Linked DNA regions of Saccharomyces cerevisiae S288C. Changing the gene in region 3 together with the main gene of any one other region gives a genetic interaction. Each region holds a gene or a part of one and is shown on either strand. Other genes may lie near its edges. The genes, in order: YTA12, ERP4 and IMA1.

The links.
Region 1: mutations in IMA1 (region 3) and YTA12 together harm fitness more than expected from each alone (negative genetic interaction), as found in Saccharomyces cerevisiae (one large-scale study listed by BioGRID).
Region 2: mutations in IMA1 (region 3) and ERP4 together harm fitness less than expected from each alone (positive genetic interaction), as found in Saccharomyces cerevisiae (one large-scale study listed by BioGRID).

Annotation. Positions count from the first base shown.
Region 1 is NC_001145.3:444,454-450,528, forward strand, and holds YTA12 (m-AAA protease subunit YTA12), read right to left. Parts: upstream 3,634-6,075; coding exon 1,156-3,633; downstream 1-1,155. Other genes in the region: VBA1 (Vba1p), read right to left, coding at 1-649; YMR090W (uncharacterized protein), read left to right, coding at 4,792-5,475; NPL6 (Npl6p), read right to left, coding at 5,605-6,075.
Region 2 is NC_001147.6:359,122-363,543, forward strand, and holds ERP4 (Erp4p), read right to left. Parts: upstream 1,964-4,422; coding exon 1,340-1,963; downstream 1-1,339. Other genes in the region: protein phosphatase 2A regulatory subunit RTS1, read left to right, coding at 1-826; YOR015W (uncharacterized protein), read left to right, coding at 872-1,231; PET127 (Pet127p), read left to right, coding at 2,291-4,422. UniProt on the Saccharomyces cerevisiae protein: Involved in vesicular protein trafficking.
Region 3 is NC_001139.9:1,066,129-1,071,708, forward strand, and holds IMA1 (oligo-1,6-glucosidase IMA1), read right to left. Parts: upstream 2,864-5,580; coding exon 1,094-2,863; downstream 1-1,093. Other genes in the region: transcription factor MAL13, read left to right, coding at 4,165-5,580.

The DNA.
Region 1 (6,075 bases), on a different chromosome or scaffold from region 3:
GGAATAGCTTAATATTAATGTTTTTGATTGCTAATACCGAGCACAACATTATCACGGGTACTTGGATACCAAAAAGAGCCCTCCATCCAATGGTTTCTATAAATACACCACCCAACGGAGCACCTAGTAATTGACCAAACCCGAAAACAATATTCGCATATCCCTGGTAAACGCCCCTTTCTCTTGCTGTACATATGTCACTAACAGCAATGCTACTAATAGCATTCAATCCTCCTGCACCAATACCACATATGGCTCTTGCTATTGAGAATTCCGTGACGTTTCTGGCAAAACATGTTAATAAGCACCCAAGGCCAAAAAAAAATTGAGCGGTTAATAATGCTGACTTCCGCCCTGTTATATCAGAAAGCTTCCCATATAGTGGTTGGAAAGCCGTATTTGTCAAAAGAAAACTCGTCGCAATCCATTGCTTTTTACTTGATTCAGAGAATTCCTCAGCAACTCTATTCATTATATTTGCGACAATAGTGCTATCCAAGGAACTCAAAAAACTACCCAACCATAGCGAAAACAAAATGGGAAACTTAGGTAAGGCCAAATTATATTCATGAAATTTTTGTTCCAAGGGAGGGGCTTCAGCTTCCTCAGGTGGAGGGAGTAGATTTGAAGTCTCGTCTAGTGTTTGCATTCTTCTTGTTCCCTCAACAACTAGGGCTCTGAGCTTAGTGAAGAACAAAGAGGAGACAAAAAACAAAATAATTCGATAGAAAAAAATCGCTGCTGTATTCTTATATTTTGGGAATGTGGGTTGGCCTAAAGTGGAACCGCATGCTCTTCTCTATCACCGGCCCTTAAGATGACCTACGTTTATTGTCGGACAGATATCATCCAACAAAACGACGCAGTGAAAAAGTGTATCATGCGAATACTGAAGATAAGATAGGCTAAGCCGTGGAATCAGCGATAAAAAAAAGATCGCGTGTATTAACCAATGACAGCCTCACAGAAGCGCTTTGATCATATATAGATATAGGTGCATTTATACACGTATATATATTTACATGTTTTCAGATTAGATTATATGGTAAATACGTGACAGTGTTCTACCGAAAAAGAAAGATGTCTGGCTTTCAATAAAATAAGCAAGATATGTAGAACAGTCTTCCTCCATTTCTTTGTATTGTGAAATATCAATCAGTTTGTAGATGGCTTAGGCTCATTACGTTTTTCGTTTTTTTCTTCTTCCTTCCTGATTTTTTCCGTTTCGTAATCGTTCAAGTACTTATCAAAAGCATCATTCCTTTCTGGGAAAGGGCGCTTACCAAGTAAATCAATCATATCTTCTCTTGTCAAAACTTCTTTTTTCAGTAGTACTTGAGCAATCTTCTCTACATCTTCTGCTTTTTCTTTAAGCAGCTTTGTACATCTGTCATGGCATTCTTGGACGATTCTGTATACTTCGGAATCAATAATGTCACCTGTCTCGTCCGAAAATGGTTTTGTCAAATCGCTATCATCTCTCTTCTGGTAATTGACCCAGCCAATTTTATCACTCATGCCTAATTCTGTGACCATTGCCGTGGCCATGCTAGTAACTTTTTTGAAGTCATCAGATGCGCCACTTGTAACTGATGGGAAATGTAATTCTTCAGAAACTCTTCCACCCAGAGACATGGTCATTCTGTCCTTAAGTTGCTGTTCAGTTAGTAAGAAGATATCACCTGGCAAATACTGTGCATAACCAAGGGCGCCCTGGCCACGTGGAATAATACTGACTTTCAGAAGAGGATCTGCGTATTTTAAGTACCATCCACATACAGCATGACCAGCCTCGTGGTAAGCCACTACTTTCTTCTCTTCGGGAGAGAGTAGCTTGGATTTGCGTTCCACTCCACCGATGACTCTTTCGATAGCTTGTTCAAAATGATTCAATTTTACTGCATCTTCATCACTTCTAGCAGCAATCAAGGCGGCCTCGTTACAAACGTTGGCAATATCAGCACCAGAAAAGCCTGGCGTCAAAGCCGCTAATCTATTTTTCAAATCAAAAATTTCCCCGGCAAGTTTCAAATGATGTAAATGAACAGCAAAAATGGCTTTTCTACCCTCAAGTTCGGGCTTGTCGATATTGATATGCCTGTCAAATCTACCAGGCCTTAATAATGCTTTATCGAGAATATCGGGTCTATTGGTACCAGCTAAAACAACAACGTGGTCAGCTGGAGTGAAACCATCCATTTCTACTAACATTTGATTTAGCGTGTTCTCTCTCTCATCATTGGCACCTGAAAAATTACCCTTTTGTCTTGCTTTTCCTATAGCATCAATTTCGTCAATAAACACAATTGAGGGTGCATTTTCTCTTGCAGTTTTGAACAAATCTCTTACTCTTGCTGCACCAACACCAACAAACATTTCTACAAATTCTGAACCAGAAACAAAATAAAACGGAACACCGGCTTCACCTGCTGTTGCCTTTGCAAGCAAAGTTTTACCGGTACCTGGTGGACCAGATAGAATCGCACCTCTAGGAATTTTAGCTCCCATTTTTTCATAACGAGAAGGTTCTTTCAAGAAGCTAACAAACTCCATAATTTCTTCCTTAGCCTCATCGCATCCGGCAACGTCCTTGAACTTGATCTTAACGTCTGTTTCAGTGTTAAATTTTTTAGCCTTAGAACGACTCAGACCAAATATGCCTCCACGGCTACCGCCCGCTGCTTGTGCCGATCTTCTTGTCAACCAAATAATACCTGCAATCATTAAAACAGTTGGCAAAATTTGGAACATAGCTTTAGCCCAATTGCCTTCTTGAACATATAGTACAGGTATTCTGAAATCCTTATCAATGTCCAGTTCGTCCTGTGCTTTCTGAAGTTTGTGTTCGAAGCTATCAATTGAACCAATTGTGAAATAATAGAAGTTGCGACCGTAATTGTCGGCTTGGTTTTTTCCGTTGTCATTTAACATCACTTTCACCATGGACTTGTTGACAACAATCAACTTCGCAACATAACCTTTTGCCAATAGTTTCTCTCTAAAATCCTGCCACGTTATCTCACTTTGCTCTTCCAAACTGTTGAGGAGATCCAATAAAAACGAAAGGAGGAAAAAAGTTAGTCCTATCTGGAATAAGTTAACATTTTTCGATACAGGATTACTAGGATCATTTAGAGGTGGTTTTGGGGGAGGAGGTGGTGGTGGCGGTGGAATATTTCTGCTATTGTTACCTTCAAAGTAGCCCTGCTCTTTTGTTCTGTTTGACTTGGCTTTTGAAGGACCATTTTCCTCCTCTTTTTCCTTTCTTTCTTCTTGAATTCTGTTAGATTCTTGTTTCAATACAGCATCTTCTAAACGCCTAATACTTTCATCAATTTTGCGTTTCTGTTCTTTCCAGTTAGCCGGTATAGTATTATTTTTAGTTTGTTCGATATATTTTTCTACTTGTTTTCTTATTGCTTCAACCTCTTCGTCTGTGGGAATTTCTTTGTTAAGTTTAGCGTCTTCGTTATTGTCCTCGTTCTTGTTACCGCTCTTATTCTCTTGCAGCCTATTGAGTAGCCGATATTGAGTATGTAAACTCTTGATATGGGTCAAGCCGTAATAGGACCGGAAGCGAACGGGCCTTCTAACTACCTTAGTAGCAATTCTTGACCAAGAAAGTAGCAACATTAGTACTCTTTCTAACTTTAAAGTTGCTTGCCAAGACTCTTGAGTGTGCTATATTGTATTCGTTGGCAGCTCAAAATCTTTCCTTTAAAACTATAGTGGCAAAAGTTAGAGATCGTTTTCACGAGAAAATGATGGGGAAAAATGGACCAAAAGACAAATGTATTCACAATGTGACACCAGATAGCTTGGTGATTAGTATATAGATCTTACAGGACACCGAATAATACCAGAAGGGACTTTCTTATTGAACGAACCGATATGTGCATGCGTTATCCTATAAAGAAATACGTCCGGATGGGATATTCAAACAAGACGCCGGACAAAATAATTCACACATATGGAGGATGTTACGTACATGAGCACAAGACGAACCGTACAAAGAGAAACATACATCATCACTCAGACGATAAGATCATAAATTAGCAGATGACACTTTAGTTTATTCTCTTTGGTAGGTTTTCTACAATCAGAATTATCTAACGGCGAACTTCTGTAGGCAGAGTTTTCGCATCGCCCAATGAGATAATGCACTTTCAAAAGACCACGCTGCACTTGCATCAAATTGGTTTACGAAAGAGCAAAGTCGAGGATTAGCACATTCCGTGTGCCCATACGTTACCATTTTTGACAAAGTTGGCAACATCAAGCGAGACATATCTACAAATATACGTATCAGAATTGTACCCGAAGTATTTCTGGTTATATTCGTTGCTAACCATTTTAACGTATTCAGCCTAGTAGCCTGCAAGAACTATTAATACAAATCGTGAAACAGAAGTTCTTTGAGTTAAAGTACAAAGACAGACAACAGCCCTCGGTGAACCTGTTGGTGTGTGTTTCCTGTATCACAAAACACAAGCGAGCAAAGAAATACGACGTTATAGCTTTTAATAATACGACGAGACAATGTTAGTGGCCGTAATAACTTTCCAACAAAAGTACTTTCCAAACTTTGCTGTTACCTCTGTGATTGTTTAGTACGAAAATTGTATCGCGCTGTCAACAGCAAGGGGCTGCAAGTATTACGTAAGGGTACACTCGAAGTAGGGATATATATTTAAAGTCCCATCGTGACGCTCATAATAGGATACTTTCCCTCCAAATAAAAATTCATTGAAGTTATATCATCGGTATTCATATATTATTGACTTAACAGCCATGTCTCCTATGAAAGTTGCGGTTGTCGGTGCCAGTGGTAAAGTTGGACGTTTATTGATAAACCAATTGAAGGCCAACGATAGTTTCTCAACACCATTAGCGATTGTTAGAACACAGGATCAAGTCAATTATTTCAAGAATGAAGTAGGTGTTGATGCTAGTTTGACAGATATAGAAAACGCGTCCGTTAGTGAGATCACAGACGCTATTAAGGCTTATGATGCCGTGGTCTTTAGCGCCGGTGCGGGTGGTAAAGGAATGGAAAGAATTTTCACGGTTGATCTGGATGGCTGTATCAAAGTTGTTGAAGCATGCGAAAAGGCTGGTATCAAAAGGTTCGTTGTTGTTTCAGCGCTCAAGGCGGAGGATAGAGATTTTTGGTATAACATTAAGGGTTTGCGTGAATACTATATTGCAAAGAGATCTGCTGATCGTGAGGTTAGAAACTCTAATTTGGATTACACTATTTTACAGCCTGGATCGTTGGAACTAAATAAAGGTACCGGTCTTTTGCAACCCCTTGACAAATTAGAAGAGAAGGCTTCTGTTAACTACTCCATTAACAGGGAGGATGTAGCTTCTTTTATTGTGGAAAGCTTGCTACATCCAAATGCAACAGTGAAAAAAACCATTTCGTTGGTAAATGGCAACGAGCCAATGGAAAAATTCATTCAAAGTTTGTAGATCAACCTATTTACGCGTGAAATGCATATGTAGATGAATAGTCAAGAAAAGAAAAAGAAAGTGAGAATATATGAATTTTTTTACCTTGATTTGAAGATAAAAATTTGTTATATTGTTACATTGAGTATACTAAATATATTCGTTGCATTTTTCGAAATTTTGTTGTTCGGTGATAGCCCTTAAAACGTCTTCATCAACAACGTCTTCATAGATCTCTTTCGGGATTTCCGACAGTCCCGTTTTCGGTTTATTCAAATCGTTATCGTGTATAACGGTCTCATACACAATGCTTGTGTCGCTGGGACTATCGTTTTTTGATCTCCTCCATCCTAAAACAGTGGTTGACTGTGTGGATTCTGGTATGTGTAATATATTTGTGTATGCATCTCTCAAGCCTTGTTGATCTACAAGAAGAACCTTCACTCTATCATAAAACAAATCGCTATTAAATCTACTACACGCAGCAGAATGCTGATAGAGCCAATTTGTAGAGCTCAGCTTACTACCTGATGCAATAATATTAGAATTACTCATGTGACCATGTGGCCTGTGTTCAAAGAATTCCACCTGGTTTTTTGCAGGGTTTATGCCATTCTCGGA
Region 2 (4,422 bases), on a different chromosome or scaffold from region 3:
ATTTGCACTTCCATTAAAGGAAGAGCACAAGGTTTTCTTGGTGAGGATATTGATACCATTACACAAGGTCCGTTGTTTATCATTATACCACCCTCAGTTGGCTTACTGTATCGTTCAATTTCTCGAAAAAGATCCTTTATTAACCGAAGAGGTAGTTATGGGCTTACTGCGTTATTGGCCAAAAATAAATTCCACAAAAGAGATAATGTTTCTAAATGAAATCGAGGATATTTTTGAAGTGATCGAACCGCTGGAATTTATTAAAGTAGAAGTTCCGTTATTTGTTCAATTAGCTAAGTGTATTTCTTCTCCACATTTCCAAGTGGCGGAAAAGGTTTTAAGTTATTGGAATAATGAATATTTCTTAAACTTATGTATCGAAAATGCCGAAGTCATCCTACCCATTATATTTCCTGCATTATATGAATTAACTTCTCAGTTAGAGCTAGATACAGCAAATGGCGAAGATAGCATTTCAGACCCTTACATGCTTGTTGAGCAAGCAATCAATTCTGGTTCGTGGAATAGGGCAATTCATGCTATGGCATTCAAGGCATTGAAAATTTTTCTGGAAACAAACCCAGTATTGTACGAAAACTGTAATGCATTGTACTTATCAAGTGTAAAAGAAACTCAACAGCGTAAGGTGCAACGTGAAGAAAATTGGAGCAAACTTGAAGAATATGTAAAAAATCTAAGGATTAACAATGATAAGGACCAATACACAATCAAAAACCCAGAATTAAGAAACAGTTTCAACACAGCAAGTGAGAATAACACATTAAATGAAGAGAACGAAAATGATTGTGACAGCGAGATACAGTGAAACAGCAATTCATTACAAGCTCGAAGAAGTGAGGAAGTTTAGGGCATGCCACATTTCAAAAGAGCAGCAGTATATGAAGAGCAAAAAAGAACTGGTAAATGGGGTCAACTTGTTGAAGAAACCAAAGATAGAATCCCCGAATATTCGAACAAAACTATAGCAAAGATAAGCCACTTGGACAATGGTTGTTTGTGGCCTGAGATAAAGGTCTCTTTTTCTCATCATTTGAGCATACTTCAATCGATGTGTCTTCATTTTATTATTTCTATACTTTTCTCCAAATATATCTTCGTTTTTCTTTTCGCTTTCCTTCTTCCTTCTGCCTTTCCTCTATTTATTTTGCACTCCACTCTTTTCCGTAAACCTTGCCTATCTATTATTGGATTTTTGAAAACTAAAGTATAAAGGTATGTCATAAATAATTAAATAACAAAAAAAATAGGATCATGATACAAAAAAGTGCCTTCCCCTTAGCACAGCTGATCCAACAATTTTAAGAGCTTGAAAAGCAACCTATACGTAGTTTTTTTGGCGACTGGTAAAAAAGAACTGAATAATTAATGCCTGCACTATACTGATACCAACCATTACCCCCATAATTAGTAATGAGAGCCATGTTAATCTTGACTCAGTAGAACTCACAGTATACATGTTTCTCCATTCTCTAGCCCTTAAATAATCCATTGTTTTGGTGATCTTATTCAGGTTCCTATCAATTTCCTCGATGGCGTTGTTTGCGATTATGTCCTCTTTGCTTTCATGGGAAGAAACAATTTCCTTTTCCTTTTCGAGGGTGATTTCAACTTTCTTTGGGGAAGTGCCGTAGTTATTACTCAAACAGAAAGTGTACTTACCTATACCAAACGACTTCAGTAGAAAATCAGAATGCTTCTTTTGTCTTTCAGTGACGATAACAGAGCCATCAGGGGCGGTAATATCGAAGTCTATCTCGAAATTCCCACCTGTCAAAACTTGGTAACTGACCACAAGGACATCTTTATCAGAGGATAAATCATAGTAAAGACATTCTTTGGTAAAAGCAGGTAATGATATGCCTACAGGAGCATAATTAGAGGAGAATGCATGTGTTAACAAAGATGAACTAAACAAAATCGCAATCAAAGTAAAAACGCGCATAATTCCTAGCGATGATTGGGAATATATATTTATGAAAAAACTTCACTAGCGCTCGTGAAACTACTTCAAAGGCAGCTGGGAAATAAATGTCTTCAAAGCAGAGAAGAGTTCCCAAATAGAATTCTCAGATCGTCAATCGCTCATCTTTGAGTATATCACGTCAAAAAACAGGAAACAGTGAAAAAAAAGTAGTCCATAATAAAGCGCGTTTCCGTCAATGCCGTTGGTTAATAAAGAAACAAATATGTAAAAATATAATATAAACAGGGCACTTGAGAGAGCACAAAAAAGAGCCAAACGCTACCTGATACTTTTATAGTTTTGATAATGGGGTTCTACAACTGTAGATTCCTGTCCAGACGTCTATCTGTTGAGCCTTGCAGAATAGGTAGCGCCGCTAAAAGCTATCAACAGCGATCGATTTATCACTTTGGCGCTGCTCTCACAAATGCCCCTAGTGGAAGAGAAACACCAGACAAGCTACGTTCTGACCTGCATAGTGCTTTAGAGATGGTCGATGAAATATATGACACAAATTCGACTGTAGAGGACATTGGAAACAAGGAAAAGGGAGGTCGACAAAAATATACGGAAGAAATGGACAAGGCGATTAATCTACTGAAAACAAATATAAAGAAGGAGTATAGACATGATAAGTATTTGGAGCGGACAAAGGTAGGAACGTATCCTGGTAGAAGAACATATCCTGGTAGGAGAACATATCCCGCTAGGAGAACATATCCCGCTAGCAGAACATATTCAGATAGCAATTCATACACTTTTCGGATAAATGTCCAGAAGATTAGGCACGCATTAGTACGTTACAATCAAGATGGTGTTCAAAAACACAACCAAAAGCCTCCTAGGATTGGTCATGGATTAACGAGAGTGTTATACCAACCGTTGTCGCTACAAAAATTGAGAGATAATAGGAGCAGAATGTATAATTTTGACCCTGCAGTGGAAAATATTAATCCAGAGTATTTGGAAAAGAAAAGTGAAAAAGATGTGAACACAGACTCCTCTGGAGAAGGACAAAGCAAGCCAATATTCATCACACCCCACAAAGATGAATCTCTGTTAAAGGTTGCCAAAGAACATAGAAAAAAGTACATATCTTCATCAAGTTCCATGACATCAGTACTTTCTCAGTTGCACTATTTATTATCCAATTTCAGAAGATTGAATATCATTGATTCCTCGATATCGAAAAATTTTCCTCAAAAAAACTGCAATTATTCAGAAAGTGCATATTTTCCGTCAGCAGTCATTCTGAGAAAGAAGAGAAATGGCATTTGTTCTATTGATTCAGATAGAAGTCTGGATAGGGAGATTGTGCTTTCTGTACTAGGTCATTATCTTGAAGACTTTTTAACGGAAAAGTCCCTGAAGAATAGTTCAAAAAGTGAAAATTATCACTATTCTAGTATAGATGAATTCATTGTGAGATCTCAATTGGACGCGTACGACCCAAATCTACCTGGAACGGGTGTATTTGATCTGAAGACAAGAGCAGTTTCTGCCATAAGATACGATTTATCACATGTAGAGAGTAATAACAACCAAACTGGATATGAGATAGATAAAGTTTATGGGGAATTTGAGTCTTTGGAAAGAGAATATTTTGAACTAATCAGGTCTGCCCTTCTAAAGTATTCTTTGCAAGCTAGAATTGGCAAAATGGACGGTATTTTCGTTGCATACCACAATATTTCTAAGATGTTTGGATTCCAATATCTACCTTTGGACGAATTAGATTATATAATCCATTCTTCGTATAACAGCAAATTCGACAGTTTGTTAAAGGAGAAGAATGATATCACAAAAGGGATATATGGTGAGGAGGACTACATTCTACACTATGACAGGGACGATAGGAAAATTGCTTGCTTGGTGGCTAATAGGGAATTTAAGATGTCTATGAATCTGTTCAGTAATATTTTGAAACACGTTGAGCAGTTACTTAACTCAAGTAATACGAAATGGGAAAAATGCAAAATAATGCTTAAAACCGAAGTTGAAGAAAAACGATCCAAAAGTGGCCGCTTCTTTAACGAACCGGTGCTAAATATTGTAGCCCTGCCGTTGTCACCTGAGTACGAGGATAAATCTTTATTGGTAAAGGATACTTCGAACGAACAATTAACAGAGGAGCTACTAAACCTCCGCTCATATAACGAAAATCTTTTGGAGGAACACCTGAATTCCTTAGTTGGATTTAAAGTAAATGTCAAGCATTTCTATCACCATCATCCTAATACTACACATCTACCTGATTTTGCTTTAAAAAAGAACGATATTCTCGACACCGAATCCCGTAAATATATTTCTGACATGATGAAACGAGACTGGTACAAAGATATACCATCTACACAGACTCCAAACTTTTTCCACGCTTCCGATGTTTCCACTTGGGAGGTGAACTCTACTTTTACAGATATCAATGACAAACAAATTTT
Region 3 (5,580 bases):
TACGGAAAAGGCAGAAGCAAGAACAATGACTTGAAAGAGCGTATAGCTATTTAACCATTTCCATTTGTATGCTATAATTCAAGTATTTCCACACTCTTAACTAAAACGAATCAGAAGAGTAGGCTACTAAGAAAGATGGCTATCCTTAATAAGTACTATCCGACGTTGAATTGAAGATTAAACTGAGCCACACATTCCCATCTTCTGCACACTTAGTTCCTTATTTAGAGACTTTTATGATAAAAATTTCTTCCGTTCACTGTTAAACAACCTTGGGAACAATGCTGACTGTGCAGGAAAATGACCTATGTTTGAAGGATGTTGCCACATAATTGAGGCATGTTAGCAGAGCATTCCCTACCACTGGAAGGAGTGATGGTTGATGTATTTTCCATTGAGACTGTGACATTGTGATACGATACCTAATCAACGACCCTATATAACTCATTAAAAATGGCTTTCTAGAAGCTACATCTATTTGATTAAATTGGTTCCCATTTTCACAAATATTTTGCCACCTCTCCTTCTCGCCAAGGATTTGTACAAAATTAACAGACCTTTTAGAATAAATATTAAATTTAGGTCAGCAGAATACGGCCACCATCTCATTCTTTACTAGATCAAGCGTCAATTCCAATAATTATAAAAATATAAGTCAAGAAAGCATCTTTCTTCGAGTCTCCTGCATTCGGTTTGCGTTCCTCTCTCGTTCTGCTTGACAAAAGAAAGAGTTTTTTATTCTCCTAACCAATAAATTGAAGCAATCAGCTATAGGGTTAGATGTATTCGTTTTCCTTTCTGACCCCTTATGTCCCCATTTGGAAGTTCTAAACAAATGCCCTTTGGTGCCCAGTATATGTCAATGACGTCTGCTTGGCGAATCTCTGAATCATAAGTGTTACATAAAAATTAAGTATCTACGGCGCAGTACAACGCCTTCGTCTGGTTAAAATCGACTCTTCTGTCATTAACATAAGAACGTATAACAAAAAAAAAATTATATCAATGTATACATAAAGCTACCCAAAACAAACTAAAACATCACTTTTGTAGGGTTTCTTCGCACATTATCATTATTATTCTTTGAGAATACTCATTCGCTGATATATATTCTTCCTTCCCATGGCTTCAATGTTCTGGAAGAGGCATCTACCTCCTTCTTTGGATAGTTTCCAAACTCTAACTTGAACGATGAATCATCATTTGGAATCTTGAAATCTGTCGCATCAGAGCTAAAGTTCAAAGCCGCAAACAATGTTTTATTGTTGTACTTCTTTGTGAAGCTAAACAACTTCTTATTGTCTAAATCAATAAACTCGAAATCGTATCCGTACACAGTAATGTCTTTATGCGCCTTTCTAAACTTCAAGGCCTCCTTCCAGAAGTTCAAAACCGAGTTGGGATCCTTGATTTCATCTTCGACGTTAATGCCTTCTCTGAAAGAGTCGTTCAAGTAAAACCATGGTTTAGCACTAGGACCAGAAAAACCAGCATTTGGCTCCTCACGAGACCATTGCATAGGTGTTCTAGCATGGTCCCTGGAGATAAGGGCAATGGCTTCTAAAAACTTTTTCATCTCCTCTGAGTTTTCCCCATGCTCTTCTTTAATGGCATTGTAGTTGTTTCTGATTTCGACATCCTCGTACTTTTCAACAGGCCAGTTCTTGAAATTGATTTGGCCAAGCTCTTGTCCCTGATACACATATAGAGTACCGGTCAAGGCACTTAGCAACACAGAGAGTAACTTACCAGAAATAACACGGTTCTTGGGAGAATCGTCACCAAATCTCGTAATTGAACGAGGTTGGTCGTGATTTTCCAGATAGATTGTTGACCAACAATCTGTACCATTAATGTACCTGAACAGCTCAGCAAGGGCAATCTTCCAATCCTTCAGTTCAAATGGGACCAAGTTGTAACGGAACAAAGGTGAAGTCCCCACATCAGTGTGGGAAAAGTTAAATAACTCACTAAGTTCGTGTCTTGAAGCACTCGTATAAAGTCTCTTAGTTTCGTCGGAGGCATGTTGCATTTCACCAACTGTCATAATCTCCCTGCCATCCTTCACTCTGTTTCTGATGAATTGATTCATTTCTTGATGGAACTCGTGAATACGTGGTCCATTCAATGTGTATGGATCACTGGATTGCCAAGTCGAGTTTTTGTCAACAACAGGAGCATCTGGTAAACCTACAACTTTGGAGTACAAACTTCCGACATCAATTCTAAAGCCGTCTACACCATGGTCTAACCAGTATCCAACGGCACTTTCGTAGATTGCCTTTCTACAGTCTTCATTCTCCCAATTCAAATCAGGTTGAGTGGAGCAAAACAAACGCAAGTAGAATTCTTGTGTCTTTTCATCGAAGGTCCATGCGGAACCACCAAAATAGGATTTCCAATTGTTTGGAGGAATTGGCTTGCCTTCGGCGTCATAACCTTTAGGAGGTCTCCAGAAGAACCAGTCACGCTTTGGATTAGTCTTCGAGGATCTGCTCTCTTTGAACCATTCATGTTCGCTGGAACAGTGATTGATGACCAAGTCGGTGATAAATTTCATACCAAGCTTATGTGTCTTTTCGATCAAGGCAAAGCAGTCTTCATTCGTACCATATGTTGGCCAGACCTTTTCGTAGTTGGCAATATCGTAACCCATATCATCTTGTGGCGAGTCGTAGAATGGTGAGATCCAAATGGCATCGGCACCAAGCTCTTTGATGTACTCCAGCTTGGAGGCAATCCCTTTCATGTCACCCCAGCCATCGTCATTAGAGTCTTTGAAACTTGCTGGGTAAATTTGATAGAACGTGGCCTCTTTCCACCACTTTGGTTCTGTCTCTGGATGTGCAGAAGAAATAGTCATCGATAGTAAATATTACGTTGAAAAGCTTTGTTTGTATCTTGTTTGATCTGTGCTTGCTCGATTAATTTGAGACAGCTTTTTTATTTCAAAACAGGCGTCTAACCAAACGTCTAGCAACTCAATATCATTGCCCTTAAGTACTTTTTATTTCAAAAGGAGATCCTTTCTCATTCTGGGGTAAACTGTGGTATGACGAAAACCATGAAAAATAAGGAACATAATTTATCCGAGTATTTCAACGATCCCAAGTACTGACATAAACTTTAGTAGCCAATTTATAGCGTGGGGTGCCTACTTCGTCACATTTGATATCGTACAGCGAAAAAACATTAGTAACTTTATTTCCTTATTTCAGGGCCACTTTTCTCGAGAATAACGCTGCGTGCTGAGCGGTTGTTCACACCGCGGAGTTGGAAACTTTATTCTCCGAAATATTCTCCCCACTAAAATATCCTTACGTATTGTGAAACTTAGTTTTCTTTTTGTATTAGGGTGTAATTTCTTATTTTCCCTGTATTTCACCGCATGCAAATTCTTACGATATTTACTCCGGTAAACGCAGTTAAGAGCTATTGTCCGGTCCGACTGAATGAATATTCGGTTAGAAACGCATATTTGTGGGGAAATAACAACCTCAAAGATATAGACGGAGCAGTACCGTAAGGTTTACAGAATGGCATGACCACCCACAATAAAGCAAGGACCTCGAGACACATGCCTTTCAAAATAGAAATAAAGGTTTTCGAACATCATTTTTCGCTTGTTGTATAGTAGTCTTTACAGTAACAGTGCATCTGAGTACAGGAACGATTGTCTTGATAATATGTGAAAAGTGCACACGAAATTAGAGGGTGTCCTTTACAAGTATTCTTAGAAACACATTCAAGAGCACAAAAGTCGATGCTTTAAGGGTCAAGGTGGTGGAAAACTTGACTGGAATTCTTGACGAAAAAACAAGAAAAACGTGATTCGAGCAATCATAAACATACAGCCCCGTTCCAACCGGATCTTGAGGTTTCCCATTTTAGATGGAAATAAGCAGAGCAAAATAAAAATCTTGAACAAGTAATAGTGGTGACTGCAGGTTACGTTGGCATATAAAGTCCGGGTGACCTGGGTTTCCTGCACCACCAGCCCCCATATGCTAGCACAATGGGTTTTCTTTATCCCCGGTCATAATTACTCATTTTGCTATATTCTTCATAACTTAAGTACGCAGATAGAGAAAATTAATAATCTCGATATATATTAAAGTAAATGAAAAGTAGAAAATTTAGCCAGAACTCTTTTTTGCTTCGAGTATGACTTTAACTAAGCAAACATGCGCCAAGCAGGCATGCGACTGCTGTCGTATTCGTCGAGTGAAATGCGATGGTAAAAGGCCGTGTAGCAGTTGCCTACAGAATAGTTTGGATTGCACTTATCTGCAACCGTCGAGAAAAAGAGGTCCGAAGTCCATTAGGTTGAGGAGCTTGAAAAGAATAGCAGAAGTGCAGAGGGAAAGCGGTCCTAACACCATTGCAACTGCTCCTGTAATATATAAGAGGGTTCCCAAAAAGCTAATCGATCAGTGCTTGCGGCTCTATCACGATAATTTATACGTAATCTGGCCCCTTCTTTCGTACGATGACCTTCACAAACTTCTGGAGGAAAAATACAATGACAATTACGTATATTGGTTTCTGACCGCTTTATCAGCGGCCACCCTCAGTGATTTACAAACTGAAATAAAATCTGAAGAGGAAGTCACTTTCACGGGAAAACAGTTATCTAATCTTTGCATCTCATCGTGTCAGCAATTTGACGATTTGGATAACAGCAATATATTCAATATTATGACGTACTACTGTTTGCATCGTAGCTTTGCACAAATATCGAACGCAAGAACTTCTTACAGACTCTGTTGTGAAGCGGTCGGTCTGATTACGGTAGCAGGGTTACATCGGGAAGAAACTTACGGATCCCTTACATTTGAAGAACAGCAACTTAGACGGAAACTTTATTACTTGCTTCTCATGACGGAGAGATACTATGCCATATATCTTCATTGTGCGACGAGCCTGGATGCCACAATAGCACCACCGCAACTTGAACTTGTAACTGATCCTCAGCTTTCTATGGACAGTTTCCTTGAAATGATTAGGGTATTTACTGTACCAGGAAAATGTTTCTTCGATGCTTTAGCCGCTGACTCTACAGATGCTTCTTGCACTGAAGAGTCATTGAAAAAGATATGGAACGAACTCCACACAACTTCCTCGGAAATAGAGCCATGGTCTAACGGTTACATAGACATCTCATTTTCCCGGCATTGGATTAGGATACTAGCATGGAAGCTAGCTTATCAAATGAGGGGTAGCAACTTTTCATTGAACGCTAACAATGGGCAAATACCAATAGAAATTGCGAGAGATATGTTAATAGACACTTACTTAACCCCAGAGAATCTTTACGATGTCCATGGTCCCGGGGTACCAGTGAAAACATTAGAAATAGCTACTGCTTTGGTGGACATTGTAGGCCAGTATGATCATAACATGAAATTAGAAGCATGGAATGTTTTGCATGATGTATGCAAATTTGCTTTTTCTTTAAACCACTATAACAATGATATGCTGAAGAGATTTTCCACCAAATGCCAGAATGCCCTAATTACTCTGCCCATTTCTAAACCTTTACAATTGGATGGTTATCCCAAGGATAATGAAGACATAGAC